Linked DNA regions of Drosophila melanogaster. The protein of the gene in region 3 interacts with the protein of the main gene of each other region in a pairwise test. Each region holds a gene or a part of one and is shown on either strand. Other genes may lie near its edges.

Evidence for each region.
Region 1: the proteins of CG9522 (region 3) and CG32201 interact in a two-hybrid assay, tested with the Drosophila melanogaster proteins (one large-scale study listed by BioGRID).
Region 2: the proteins of CG9522 (region 3) and CG11570 interact in a two-hybrid assay, tested with the Drosophila melanogaster proteins (one large-scale study listed by BioGRID).

Annotation. Positions count from the first base shown.
Region 1 is NT_037436.4:18,607,699-18,612,400, reverse strand, and holds CG32201 (uncharacterized protein), read right to left. Parts: upstream 2,782-4,702; 5' UTR 2,773-2,781; coding exon 2,564-2,772; intron 2,514-2,563; coding exon 2,362-2,513; intron 2,165-2,361; coding exon 2,014-2,164; intron 1,960-2,013; coding exon 1,763-1,959; intron 1,711-1,762; coding exon 1,082-1,710; intron 1,027-1,081; coding exon 861-1,026; intron 799-860; coding exon 740-798; 3' UTR 539-739; downstream 1-538. Other genes in the region: CG32199 (uncharacterized protein), read right to left, coding at 1-195, 305-423; CG18231 (uncharacterized protein), read right to left, coding at 2,981-3,054, 3,114-3,264, 3,411-3,940, 3,995-4,191, 4,247-4,397, 4,532-4,683.
Region 2 is NT_037436.4:11,956,194-11,959,344, forward strand, and holds CG11570 (uncharacterized protein), read right to left. Parts: upstream 1,577-3,151; 5' UTR 1,532-1,576; coding exon 1,531-1,531; intron 1,470-1,530; coding exon 1,387-1,469; intron 1,326-1,386; coding exon 621-1,325; 3' UTR 530-620; downstream 1-529. Other genes in the region: CG7248 (uncharacterized protein), read left to right, coding at 1-529; CG43294 (uncharacterized protein), read left to right, coding at 2,129-2,129, 2,180-2,610; prc (pericardin), read right to left, coding at 2,929-3,151.
Region 3 is NC_004354.4:14,845,944-14,850,800, reverse strand, and holds CG9522 (uncharacterized protein), read left to right. Parts: upstream 1-1,992; 5' UTR 1,993-2,022; coding exon 2,023-2,158; intron 2,159-2,304; coding exon 2,305-4,019; 3' UTR 4,020-4,329; downstream 4,330-4,857.

The DNA.
Region 1 (4,702 bases), on a different chromosome or scaffold from region 3:
ATCGGCGCGGACTTCAACTGCACTTCCATTTCTTTGATTTTCTTCGAAGCTATAGCCAATTTTATATATCTCAGCCATTTGGGCCAATCTTGATTGAGGCGTCTGAGCATGGGAAACGCATTTAGAGGATTGGACACATACTCTTCCTTCTCCTCCAGCGTTGTTAAAGTTACTCGTTTCAGCGAGTCTTGATATCTGAAAATAATATACAATAAAATGTGTCTCATATAATTTATTATATAGTATAATTCATAGCACATTTCAAAAGATTTTTTTTGAATAAAAAATAATTTACCCTACTTACAATTTAATCAGATCTAACTTGGACTGCATTTCCTGAACGTATATATCTAAGTTCGTTTTTAGAGATTCTTCCATTTCCAAAAGTTTCATCATGCTCATCACAGATGTGCTGTATATCATTTTCTCCTCTGACGTTTCATTTCTTTCCTTGCAAAAGTTCTGCGGAACCCAAATGAATACAAGACATATCTGAAGCACGAACCACTTCATCTTGACTTGGGTAGACTAATGCACTGAATTTCTGTTCTATTTATTAGACTAATCAACAATTTCATGGTATATTGGTAATGGCTGATACATTTTTGGTTCCGCCACAAAAAATTCGTTTGTTTAAGATTTGTTTTGGTATCTTTTAACTATGAAACCAAGTAACTATCTTATAATATTGCTCGCATGAAATCTAAAAAAAAACATTTTTTAACTAGAGTTGTATTTACTACGATTTGCATGGGAAGCTAAACATTTGCGGAAACATAGGAACCCACTTTGTGAGCGCTGTAAAAGAAAACTTCCTATATGTAGTACAATCGTACGTATATATGAATAAGCTAACCTACTCCATCTGTCGCCATTGAGAACAGGACACACCGAGTGTAGGCTTCTTATGTCAGGTTTTCCGTCATCATGCAAATTGAACCAGTACAACATGCTGCCTTTTTGTGGGAAGACCGTAACATTAATTTCCGGAAAAACAGTGGCACCTCCTTGTGGAACTTCACTAGCCTGTAAATTGGAATTTTTATATATATTTGAAGGGAAAGCAATCATCTTTACTCACATAAAAAAGAATGCTTGCCAACCTATCTCCCAACGTCGTAATATTTGGAGTTTCAAAACCATCGGACGAGTAGTCAAAGTGCGGTTGGAAATAGGTGCCCAATCCATAGTTCGCGATCTGTAGTTTTTCATCTTTTAAGAAGTTGAATCCTGTCATATCAATTATCCGCTGATTGATGCGCTCCCGAACCAATGAAGTATTTGACCACCAATCATATCGGACAACTGTATCTCTGATTTCTGTGCCATTTCTCTGGCTGGCGTAGCCATTAACCATATTCATCGATTGTCCTTTAAGTTCACGAATCTCCGAATCGTACAGAACTTCGTGATACATTGCCATAAATGGATCCAAACTAATTTCCTCCAATTTTAGAGGAGCCAATCGCAGAAACGTATTCGCAGTGCTTTTGTATCGACACACAAGATTCGTCTTTTGGCGATACAGTCCTCGACAACCAAGTTCACAGTTGGAAGGACTTCTTTTTACCTGATACAGATCTTTCTCTACTTCAACGTCGTTCTGCGGTTCGTTCAGGTCAGACATAATATTATCCAGCTCCTCTTGACTGGCCTGTACCATTATAAAGGCTTCTTCAATGGACTTCGAAGGCTCAGATGTTGTAGAGCCTACAATTAGTTGATATAAGCAAAAGGAGAAAACAATAAAGCCTAGTCTTACCGTATTTGAAGAGGGATTTAATGTATTGGCGATGAAGGTGTTCAGATGGGTCGCCCAAAATCTGAATAAATAATTGTTCGGGATTTTCCAATTCGCGTTTGCAAGCAATTCGATACCATTTGGCTGCTGTCTGATAGTCGCTTTGCTGGTACATCGAATTTCCCATGGCTATGAGGTCGCGATATGTAAGTTGAACGCTGCAGATTCGATTTCGCTAATAATTCTCCAATTTTAATTACTATTCTATATACTTGTACTGAACTCCTTGCAAAACACCTTGTGCCAGATCGTCGATTTTCAAGTCATATATTTTTTCTATGCGTTGAATTCCATGCATGGCCGACAACATGTCCACATCGTTCGGAACCATTTTCACAAGGTCAACCAGAATACTCTGATTTCCTGTATATATAAAAATGTATATTATATAGTATAGTAGAGTATATTAGTATATATTACTACAAAGTATTAATAGAGCTCTATTTCAATTTGATGTTACTAGTTGCTAGTTACTACAAACTAGTTTCTACTTGCTAGTTACTACTTATTAGTTACTACGTACTAGCTACGACTAATACTAGTTTCTAGTTACAACATACCTTCTCCAATGGCTTCTTTAAAGTATTCGTGCCATTTTGGTAAATCCTCGTGCGTGCGTCTTAGCAGTGAAAATGCATTTATGGGATTTGAAACGTATTGCACTTTTTCATTGAGGCTTCGATGTAATTCATAACCCACTGACGACAAGTACCTAAAATTTTTCTTTTACTTGTGATAAAAACAAATTTTAGGTTGTGTTACATTCGAAGTGCTTCGAATTTTTCTCCTAGCTGATCAACTTGGTTTAAAAGGTTATCGGTGAATTTTTCTTCCACTTTGAGCAGTTTCAGAAGTCCCACAGTAGATGAGCTGTATCGTTCTTTTTCCTCAATATCCTCGACACATCCTACAAAACTGTTTAGAACTGCAAAACCAAGCAGAACTGGGAGTAAACTATGATACTTTCTCATTATAACTAAAAAGTATTCACATTTCTTTAAACAATTGTAAGTTCTTCTTGACTTAAATGGATTCTCTAAGGTTATAGTTGGTTGAATTGATTAGTTACGTTTTTTGTTTATTAGCTACCGTTATCTATCGGGTTATTTTATTTTTTTATTGCAAAGTTATTTTATTTTACAAATATTAAGTGCTATTTAAAGTTTTATCTAAAATTATTTAAAACTTTTGGTTACTCTTTGCTTTCTTGTACTGCATAGGTCGTCCATTGTATGCACCTTTTTGTGTGATAACTAAAAAGAAATCTAAATCAATCAAATTTATTTCATTAGATTTCCATTTTTTCATGTACCCCTTTTATTTCCTTGAAGAACTGGGCATTCCAAAGGCTCACTGCGAGGATCAAGTGTGTTATGCCAAAAGAGACAGCTGCCCTTTTGAGGAAAGACGGATATTTTCAACTTTGGAAAAACCATAGCACCACCGAGTTCCACATTGTTAAGCTGGTTAGAAGTAAATATTTTTTGGATAAATAGTTAGTGCAGATTCTATCAATAGGATAGTTTCAATTATAAAATCAAAAGAGAATCTTATATTGCAAAACTAAATGTAACCAATTAAAATTGCACATTGAGTACACTGTACTTACAAAAAATAGTAATGTTCCTTTTAAATATTCCTTCTTATGTTTGTGCGTTCGAGGACCGTTTTTGGATACTATTTGTTGATCTGAATGTTCAAAACTAAGTCGTGTCAATTCGTTTATGCGTTGAAAGATGCGTTTTTCAATAGGATTGACTTCCACCGCGTCAGTATCATTCAAGTGGTTTTTCAACTTATCGATCTCGTCGTCATTAAGAACATCGTGATATATGACAATGTAAGGATCCCAATTTAAAACTTCCTGTTTCAAGGGAGCTAGTTTCAAGAATTCGGTTATGGTGAAATTATAGGTGCAAACATGATTCCTTCGCCTAAGAAACTGGCCACGACATCCAATTTCGTAGTCTGAGGGTTTTGTCTTGTTAACATTCATTTCGTAAACAATTTCATCGTCAGTTTGACTTAGCAACTCATTTAAGAGAGATTTTATATCTGCTAGGCTGGCCTTATTCAGAGCTTCGTAGGATATTTTCTTAGCTTCTGCGATTGTCATCGAAGGATTTGACTTGATCATGCCTATATGGTTGTAAGGGAAAGATTAGATAGGCCTTCTTGACTCATCCTCCTTACCGAATATGAGCATTGATTTGGCGTACAAAGTATACAAATTAACCTTGGGATCTCCAAGAATGCTGTTGATAATCTCGGCATTTCCTTCGGGCTCATGTTTGATGGCCACGCGAAACCACATAGAAGCCCGTTGGTAGTCCTCCCTTTTAAATTTGTGCTCTCCCAAAGCAACACAATCCCGAATAGAAGGCCGAAAGCTAAAAAGTAATCATATTGAATGGATAATAACAAAAAAAAAAATGTTTCCTATACTCATATTGCTTGCCCTGAATACGACCTCTTGCCAACTCAATGGCTTCCAAATCGTAAATCTGTTCAATCCGATGCATTTCTCCCAGTGAATATGCCATATCCTTTTTATCCGGTACCTTGGCTATAATTTCCTCCAAGGCAAACAGTTCCTCTAAAAAAAATTGAATTATTATTTGAGTACGGTATTTTGAGCAATATAAAGTGATCAAGCTAATGCTGTTGTCAATACCACTCATTCATATGAAAATTTAATAAATTCTTTAAAATTGGGATAAATACTCTTACCCATTCCCACGATCTGCTGTGAATAGTTGTGCCATTTCGGTAGATCTTGATGTGTCCGTCTCACTAGACTAAATGCATTAATGGGATTACCGACATATTTCTCTCGATCTTCAAAACTTTGTTGGAATTCGTAGTCAACCGAGTCGATATAACTGTGGATAACATGTGGCA
Region 2 (3,151 bases), on a different chromosome or scaffold from region 3:
TACTCCGGGCTCAGAACCAGATCCATGTGATGGAGCTCCTGAGGGAAAACTAGTTCCCTATCCGGATGACTGCTCCAAGTTTATACAATGTATTCAACCCGATCCTATCGTTTATGACTGTCGCGAGGGTCAGGAATTTAGTGCCGCCTTGGAAAGGTGTATGGCTCCTTGGTTTGCAAACTGTTCTATTCCAGCTACAACAATCCCACCCGTAACTATTCCTACTACCACAACAACCACAGAGAAGCCTTCACCGAATGGAATTTGTGCAGATAAGGCAGAGGGATCACTGGTGCCCTATCCTGGGAACTGTAGCAAGTACATTGCTTGTGAAGACCCCATTCCGGTGGGTTATGCGTGCCCGGAGGGAGAAGAATTTAATCCCATCATTCTTACCTGTACGGATCCTCACCTGGCTGGCTGCAATCCAAGTGCTTTGCACATTTCACCGAAAACCGAATCAGATGATTTAGGGTTTTCTTTATGGCAGTCCTTAAAAACGATTGCAAGTTTTGTTACAGAATTGTAATCACAATATCTTTTATTGAATGCTTTTGTAAAAGTAATTATTAAAATGTTGTAACTTCATGTCTTCTGTTTGATTGGGTAAAGCTCTGGTTTCAATTTAAAGAAGCCTGGCACCCATTGCTGTAAGTGGTGCAGGCATGCTGGGCAGGATTCCAATTCGAGGAGCCTGCGCATGAAAGAATGGTTGCTGTTGGTCCGCAATGTATAAACTTCTTACAACTGCCCGGATAAGGAATGTACGCATTGGGAGGACTGTTATTGCACAATGATTGGACGTCAATTGGCAGAGGTAAAGATTCCATGGGAGTTATAGGCGGTGGAGTACCAGCGGTGGGCATGGGATCATAAGGTATCACGGTTGCGGGAACGGTTGGAACGGGTGGATAGGTAGGCAGTGGGGTAAAGGGGACTACGGGTGGCACGGTCACAGGAGAGTTCTGACAATCGCCATACTGTGGGACAACGCATCTCTGGTATACTGAACTCCACTGGAGGTTTTGCTCACAGCGAAGGATACGTGTCTCGTAGAATCGCCTGCAATCTCCGGGATATGCACTAAATATGACCTCAACATCATGGTTGGGACTTGGAATATACGTATTGCAGTTGGAGTACTCCTTGTAGTCACAGCGGTAGGTCATCTGGCTCCAGAACAAATTCAGAGGACACTGTTGCTCATAGGCTCGTCCTTTTTGGCATACGTAATACTTGCTACAGTCATTGGGATATGGCAACATCACATTATGGTTGGGATCGTCAAATGGTGGGCATTGTATAGAGTGGTCGGTTACTATGGACTAGAAATGTAAAAAATTATTTTCCTAGACATTATACTGGTTAACCGATCGGCACATTTACCACGAGATTATTGTTTTCCTGGCAATCGACAATTGCAATGAAAGCCAACAAACCTAGGTAGATAACAACAGATCCTTGCCGCACTGCAAAAAAAAATAAACTTTTCAATGCCTTAAGAGTTCAAAATTGAATGTGTCTTGTTACTTTTGATGTTGTTTGCTGAAAGAGCTCCAAGAAAGTGGATGCTACAACTTGGAAAAACTCGGCCTTTTATACCAGCAATAATCTGGATATCTTTATCAAGTTCAAGTGCTTAACACTTATTTATCGAACATCATTTTGCGTAAACAATGAAAGTCAAATCTTAAAAAAAAATTTCCCCTAGATATGCTATGTGTACATATCGAATTCTTACTGCCCAGGTCTGATCTTCTAAATTACTATTCTATACATTCCCTAATAATGAAAATTCAACAGACATCTGGTTTTATCCAACTGATCCTCTTATTAATCAGAAAGATTAACACATTTTCAAATTTCGCGAACTACCAATTACTAATATAGGTTTTTGAATTTGGTGAGCAACAGTTAGTACTCATCTTACGAGTTATTTTCCCATCCACTTGACCGGACAAGCTTATCTTTTCAAGGACAGCTATGATATGAAAGCCAATAAATAAAATTCCTCTAAAGTCATAGTATCAATTTGTCAATAATATGTATTTACTTAGCAATGATATATAAAAACCCAGAAACATCGGATCGGTATCAGACTAAGAAATCTTCGCGAGGCAGAGAGAAAAGTACAAACTTAAATATTTTCATAACATTACTAAATTTTCACTTTTATCAGTGCTAAACAAGTTACCACTAATTGTTTTACTATGTGCCGTGTTCTCTGGATTTTGCATGGCCCAAACTGTGCAGAGATGGCCGTTTCCCAATGACTGCCATCGGTACTACGAGACCCGATTGCTTGACTGTCCTCCGGAATTTTATTGGAACTCACAGCTACTACAATGCAATTCGCAGACTCCGGTTGGCTGTTCCTCCATAGATCCGATAACGAATTGGAACAACTCCTATCCCAATTCTCCACCGATTAAAGAACCAGAAAATTCCGATCTTACGAAACTATGCGAGAATAAGCTCAACCAGCTAATACCCTACCCAGCGGATTGCACCAAGTTTATTCGGTGTGATTATTTACCCTTCGTAATGTGCTGCCCGCAATATCTCTATTGGAATTCTCAGCTCCTTACATGCGATAAGATGTGTGTTTAGAGGGTTTTCTGAAACAACATCGCACAAGCAGTTCCGGAATTAAGATAACGAAACAAAATTCTCTTTTTCATATTGTGTTTTGTTATTAAATATTAATTACAGTTGCAAATCGTACAAAATATTCAAGAATTGGCAGTGAAACCGTTTAATTGTATGCGAAAAAACACTTAAGTGCTCAAGAGCAAGCTGCATCAAAATACAAATAGGTGGTTTGTAGATGGCAGTTGGTTAAGCTGTTCTAAAATTGAGCCCCTCTGGAACTGATCTACTATAATATGGGTGTGGTGGTGTGGTTAGAGGGATGTGTATTATGCTCCCCTAGCATTTTCCATTGGTGGGCGCCTTGGGACGGCAGATCTTGCTCCTTCCATTGGCGCCGTAGACAATGTTGCAAGAGAAGGTGAAATAGCCGCAGGTCGAGGACTTGGTGTAATAGGTCGACTGGAAGTTCTTGTTCTCCTGCGGTGGGTTCTTTGTGTTGTCCATGCTGCCTGTCACTGACTTGGTGACGGTGACGTAGCTATCAGGAGCACGCCGTAGC
Region 3 (4,857 bases):
GCATTGTCTCATTTATATCAATAGGGATTTTCAACTCTGGCACTTTTCATGCTAATCAATTTGTGGCTTCATAATCAAAATCTGTGAAATACATGAAGTTGTCCGCTTGTTTGACGATTTTTTGTTTTGATTTATTACACGCCTTTGTTTTTGAGTTTCTCTCGATCTTTTTATTGTTGCGGAAATGATTTTTTTTTTATTCATCACTCTCGTTTTTTTTGCGTTCGTTTTTTATCTTGTCTAACGAACTTAGCCGGTGTGAATAATTTGTTAGGTGTTTTGTTCAAGCAATTTTCGGTGCTGAGTCTTTGGATTGATCTTGGTATAATTCGCATCGATTTGACCTTAGAATTATTTATGTATGTAGAGTGGGTATAAATCAGTCGAAAATTGAGAATAATTGCTTTGGTATAAGTATATCTTTCAATATCCCCAAGGGTAGGCTATATTAAAATTCTATTCAAATCGAAATGAAACGAAAAGCTTTGAGCTCAGCTTAAAGCTCTTGGATTTTATATTTTTCGAAGAATTTCAAAGCCGGCTTGTGATTCTAAATCACATTCGTCACTACGTGACTAGCCTTTGACAGTGCTTATTAAATTTAATATATTCACATATATTCTATAAACTTACATGTGCATATAGAAAACAAGGCAATTTACGTACAACTCAATTTATTTGTTGCACAAATTTTATTTCATTTACTTTTGACTAAATACCGAGTGAGCTATAGGCTATCCTATTTCCCATTGAAAACTCATGAAAACATTTCCCTTTCCTTTCGAAAAAAGTCACTAGACTTTTCATTAACACAAATTGAAATATTCATGAATCGAGGGGGCGGTTTGAGCCGCTCAAAAAAAAAAAGAAAAAGGCGAACACAATAGAGACAAATTTTGAATGCAATTGCCATGACCAAAACATGGCCCTTCCTCCGAATTTCACATCAATGTCCTCTGTGAAATCCCAGTCTTGTTCACATTTTGGTTTCATGTTCCCCTTTCGGCTGCTTTGGTTTTGTAAGGGCATCCAATGACTTTTATTGTGGGATTGGATGAACTGCATCCATATGCTGGGGTTGATACCAACTGCACTGAGCCACCCCTTTTATACATTTTTTTATTTTTGGCTAGACCTAAAGTCGTTTAATCGTTTTTGGTTTTGTTTTGTTTTGGTTTTTTCTTGATTATAATACTCTATGGGGTGGCTTGAAATATATATTAACCCTCGAGTGCCCGAGCCGCTGGTGCTTCAATCTTCAAAGATTTAACTGACAGTCCGGCATAAAAAATAAAAATATAAACAAAGCCAGCACAAGATGCCCATCCAAATGCCATTGAACCGAGCTCAGATGCAGAAGAAACACAGAGAGAAAACTAATGTATATAATATATGTATTTAAAATATTGCAAAAATCATTAATTTTAAGAAAAACTAATTACAAATTGCTGAAGAAATTAACCATTTACCATGGGTGTCTTTATCAAATCAAAACTTAAATGATCTAAATTTTTGTTTTCTGCATTAGAAAAGAGACAGAGGAACAGCAAATAAAAGAGAGGCAAGACCGTAGAGATGAGCAAGCAGAATGCGCAAATTAGCAAGTGGCAATAAAAATTCTGAGACAATCTCAGCCTGTTTTGGCCCTACAAACCTGGCCACCAAGTCAACCAACTCATCTCAACAGTGGAGGAAAAAAAGAAGACGTAGTGATGCGGAGAAAGGCGGCGCGAAAGAGAGGGGGGTATAGAGATCAGTGAGGGAGAACCAAACCGGCAAGATAATCCACAGTGGAGCAAGTTCCATTTGAAATAAAATAATAAAAGTTTCAATTAATGTTCACTAACTAACTTTCCACGCCCATAAATAAAAAGCGCAATAATAGTAAAATATAAAATAAATCACATATCTAGATTTTTTTGAGACTTTTAAAACTCGTTCCACAGTGCGTTGGCAGACGTAGAGGTCCAATATCACGGAAAGCTCGGTAGCCACAGAGTTCAGTTACCGGCCATCGCAACCATGGAGAAGCTGCTGCTGACCCAGCTTCTGTTTCTGCTCCTGATCCCACTGATCCACTCCCAAAGGAGCTCCCAACTGGACGAACTGCGGCGACTGGGATTGGGAAATGTCGTCAATGTGCCATTCTTCAGCGATGGTGAGGGTTTATTCAAATCATGGAAATATTCAAGTACCTATATGTGCTCCAATATAATAAGCGTATTTATGCCAGAGAGTTCCATGCTTTTAGTACTGGAAAATTTGTAATCGATTTAACACATATATTTTAAAATCTCCTTGCAGTTCCCCAAAGAAACTATGACTTCATAATAGTTGGAGGCGGAGCTGCTGGCTGTACATTGGCCGCTCGTCTCTCGGAGAATCCCAATTGGAGTGTGTTCCTTATCGAAGCCGGAGGAGTGGAGAACATAGTGCATCAGGTGCCATTACTGGCGGCCCATTTGCAGTCGACTGCCTCCAATTGGGGCTACAACTCGACGCCACAACGCCATGCCTGTCGTGGAATGCCCGATAACAAGTGTGCCCTGCCGAGGGGCAAAGTTCTGGGTGGCACTAGCTCGATCAATTACATGATCTACAATCGGGGCAATCGTAGGGATTTTGATGCCTGGGCGGCAGCTGGAAATCCCGGCTGGAGTTACGACGAGGTGTTGCCCTACTTTCTGCGAAGTGAGCATGCACAGCTTCAGGGATTGGAGCACTCGCCATATCACAATCACAGTGGTCCCTTGAGTGTGGAGGATGTGCGACACCGGACGCGACTTGCACACGCCTACATTAGAGCTGCCCAGGAGGCGGGTCATCCGAGAACGGACTACAATGGTGAATCCCAGCTGGGCGTTTCCTATGTGCAGGCCACCACACTGAAGGGCAGGAGGCACAGTGCCTTTCGTGCCTATATTGAGCCCATAAGATCTAGGCGTCATAATCTGCACATTCTAACACTGGCTAGAGTCACCCGAGTTCTGATAGATGCAGCCACCAAGTCCGCCTATGGAGTGGAGTTGACCCATCAGGGCAGAAGCTTTAAGGTGAAAGCCCGCAAGGAAATCATTCTATCGGCGGGTGCCTTCAACTCTCCACAGTTGCTGATGCTGTCGGGGATTGGGCCAGAAGATAACCTCAAGGCCATTGGAATACCCCTGATCAAGGCACTGCCAGTGGGTAAGAGAATGTTCGATCACATGTGCCACTTTGGACCCACTTTTGTGACCAACACAACGGGCCAGACTCTATTTGCCGCTCAATTGGGCGCACCGGTGGCCAAGGAGTTTCTACTGGGCCGGGCAGACACCTTTCTGTCCAGTATCGGTGGCGTAGAGACGCTCACCTTCATCAAGGTGCCGTCGGGCAAGAGTCCGGCCACCCAACCCGATGTGGAACTCATCCAAGTGGCCGGCAGCCTGGCTAGCGATGATGGCACTGCCCTGGCCAAAGGAGCCAACTTTAAGCCCGAGATCTACGAGAAAATGTACAAGAATCTGACGTTGAGGCAGCAGGATCACTTTAGCTTCCTCATCATGCACTTCAAGCCCGCCTCCGTGGGTCGCCTCTGGCTGCACAATCGCAATCCACTCGAGTGGCCACGCATCGATCCCAAGTACTTTTCGGCTCCGTCGGATGTGGAGAACTTGCTGGAGGGCATTAAGGAGGCACTCAGAATCTCCAAGATGCCGGCCATGCAGGCGATTGGAACCAGATTGTTGGACAAGCCGGTGCCAGGTTGTGAGAACTACGAATTCGCCTCGGATGATTATTGGCGGTGCTCCATACGCACGCTATCCTACACACTGCACCACCAGGTGGCCACCTGTCGCATGGGCGCCGAAAGTGATCCCACCACCGTGGTCAATCATCAGCTAAAGGTGCATGGAGTGAGGAAACTTCGGGTGGTGGACACCAGTATCATACCGTTTCCACCCACCGCTCACACAAATGCAGCGGCATTTATGATTGGGGAAAAGGCGGCTGATATGATACGATCCGAATGGAGTTGATTAACTCCAGATGAAGATCACCAAATCAGCGATTTATGTAAAGGGGTTAATAAAATGCGAGAGGAAAGTTTGAAAGAAAGCAAACGGGTAAAATCGTCACACGTTAAAAGCATTCGACAATTCTTTAATAATTTAAAAGATTGTGTTCCATACATAATTTTAAATCAGTAAGAAAAAAAAAATCACATTTTCATTGGATTTTAAAGGGTATCATATATCATTATTATTTTCAACATTTTGAAAATCTTTAATTCAAATTCATAAAATTAATAACATTTTTTTTTTTATAATAAATGCCATCGAAAATCTTTATAATTGACTTTTAACTCAATTGCCACCCGTTTTCGTTGAGTGTAGCGCCAAACGGGGTCTTCAGAACGGTTCGGGTCAATCCAATTTGGACCACGTCATGACCTAGCTTAATAAGTTCCCACCGATCCGTTCCGGTCTCGAACTGAACCGAATCCGAATCGGGCCAAACGAGGCATCCCAAAAACGGGTTTACGCACTCCAAGTTCAATGGCTCGTCAGTCTGGCCGACAAAAAAATACCAATAGAGCGCCGGGATTGGGTATGCCTCATCGATGATGTATGTACATATGTATGTATATACGATATTGTTGTTATTTTACATATTAACTTGAAGTGCATTTAGGGGCCCAACGCTGGGAGAACACGCGCCAAAGTTAAATGAACCCGCAAATGGTAGACGGCACTTAAAAAGTGAGAATCTTGTCATTCTCCATTCGCATTTGGTCAAACCAGGAAATGTGGCTATCATTTTCTGGATACCCTATAGTTTTAAGTTTTTTTTAATTTTCTTACAAAACTTGCAGCA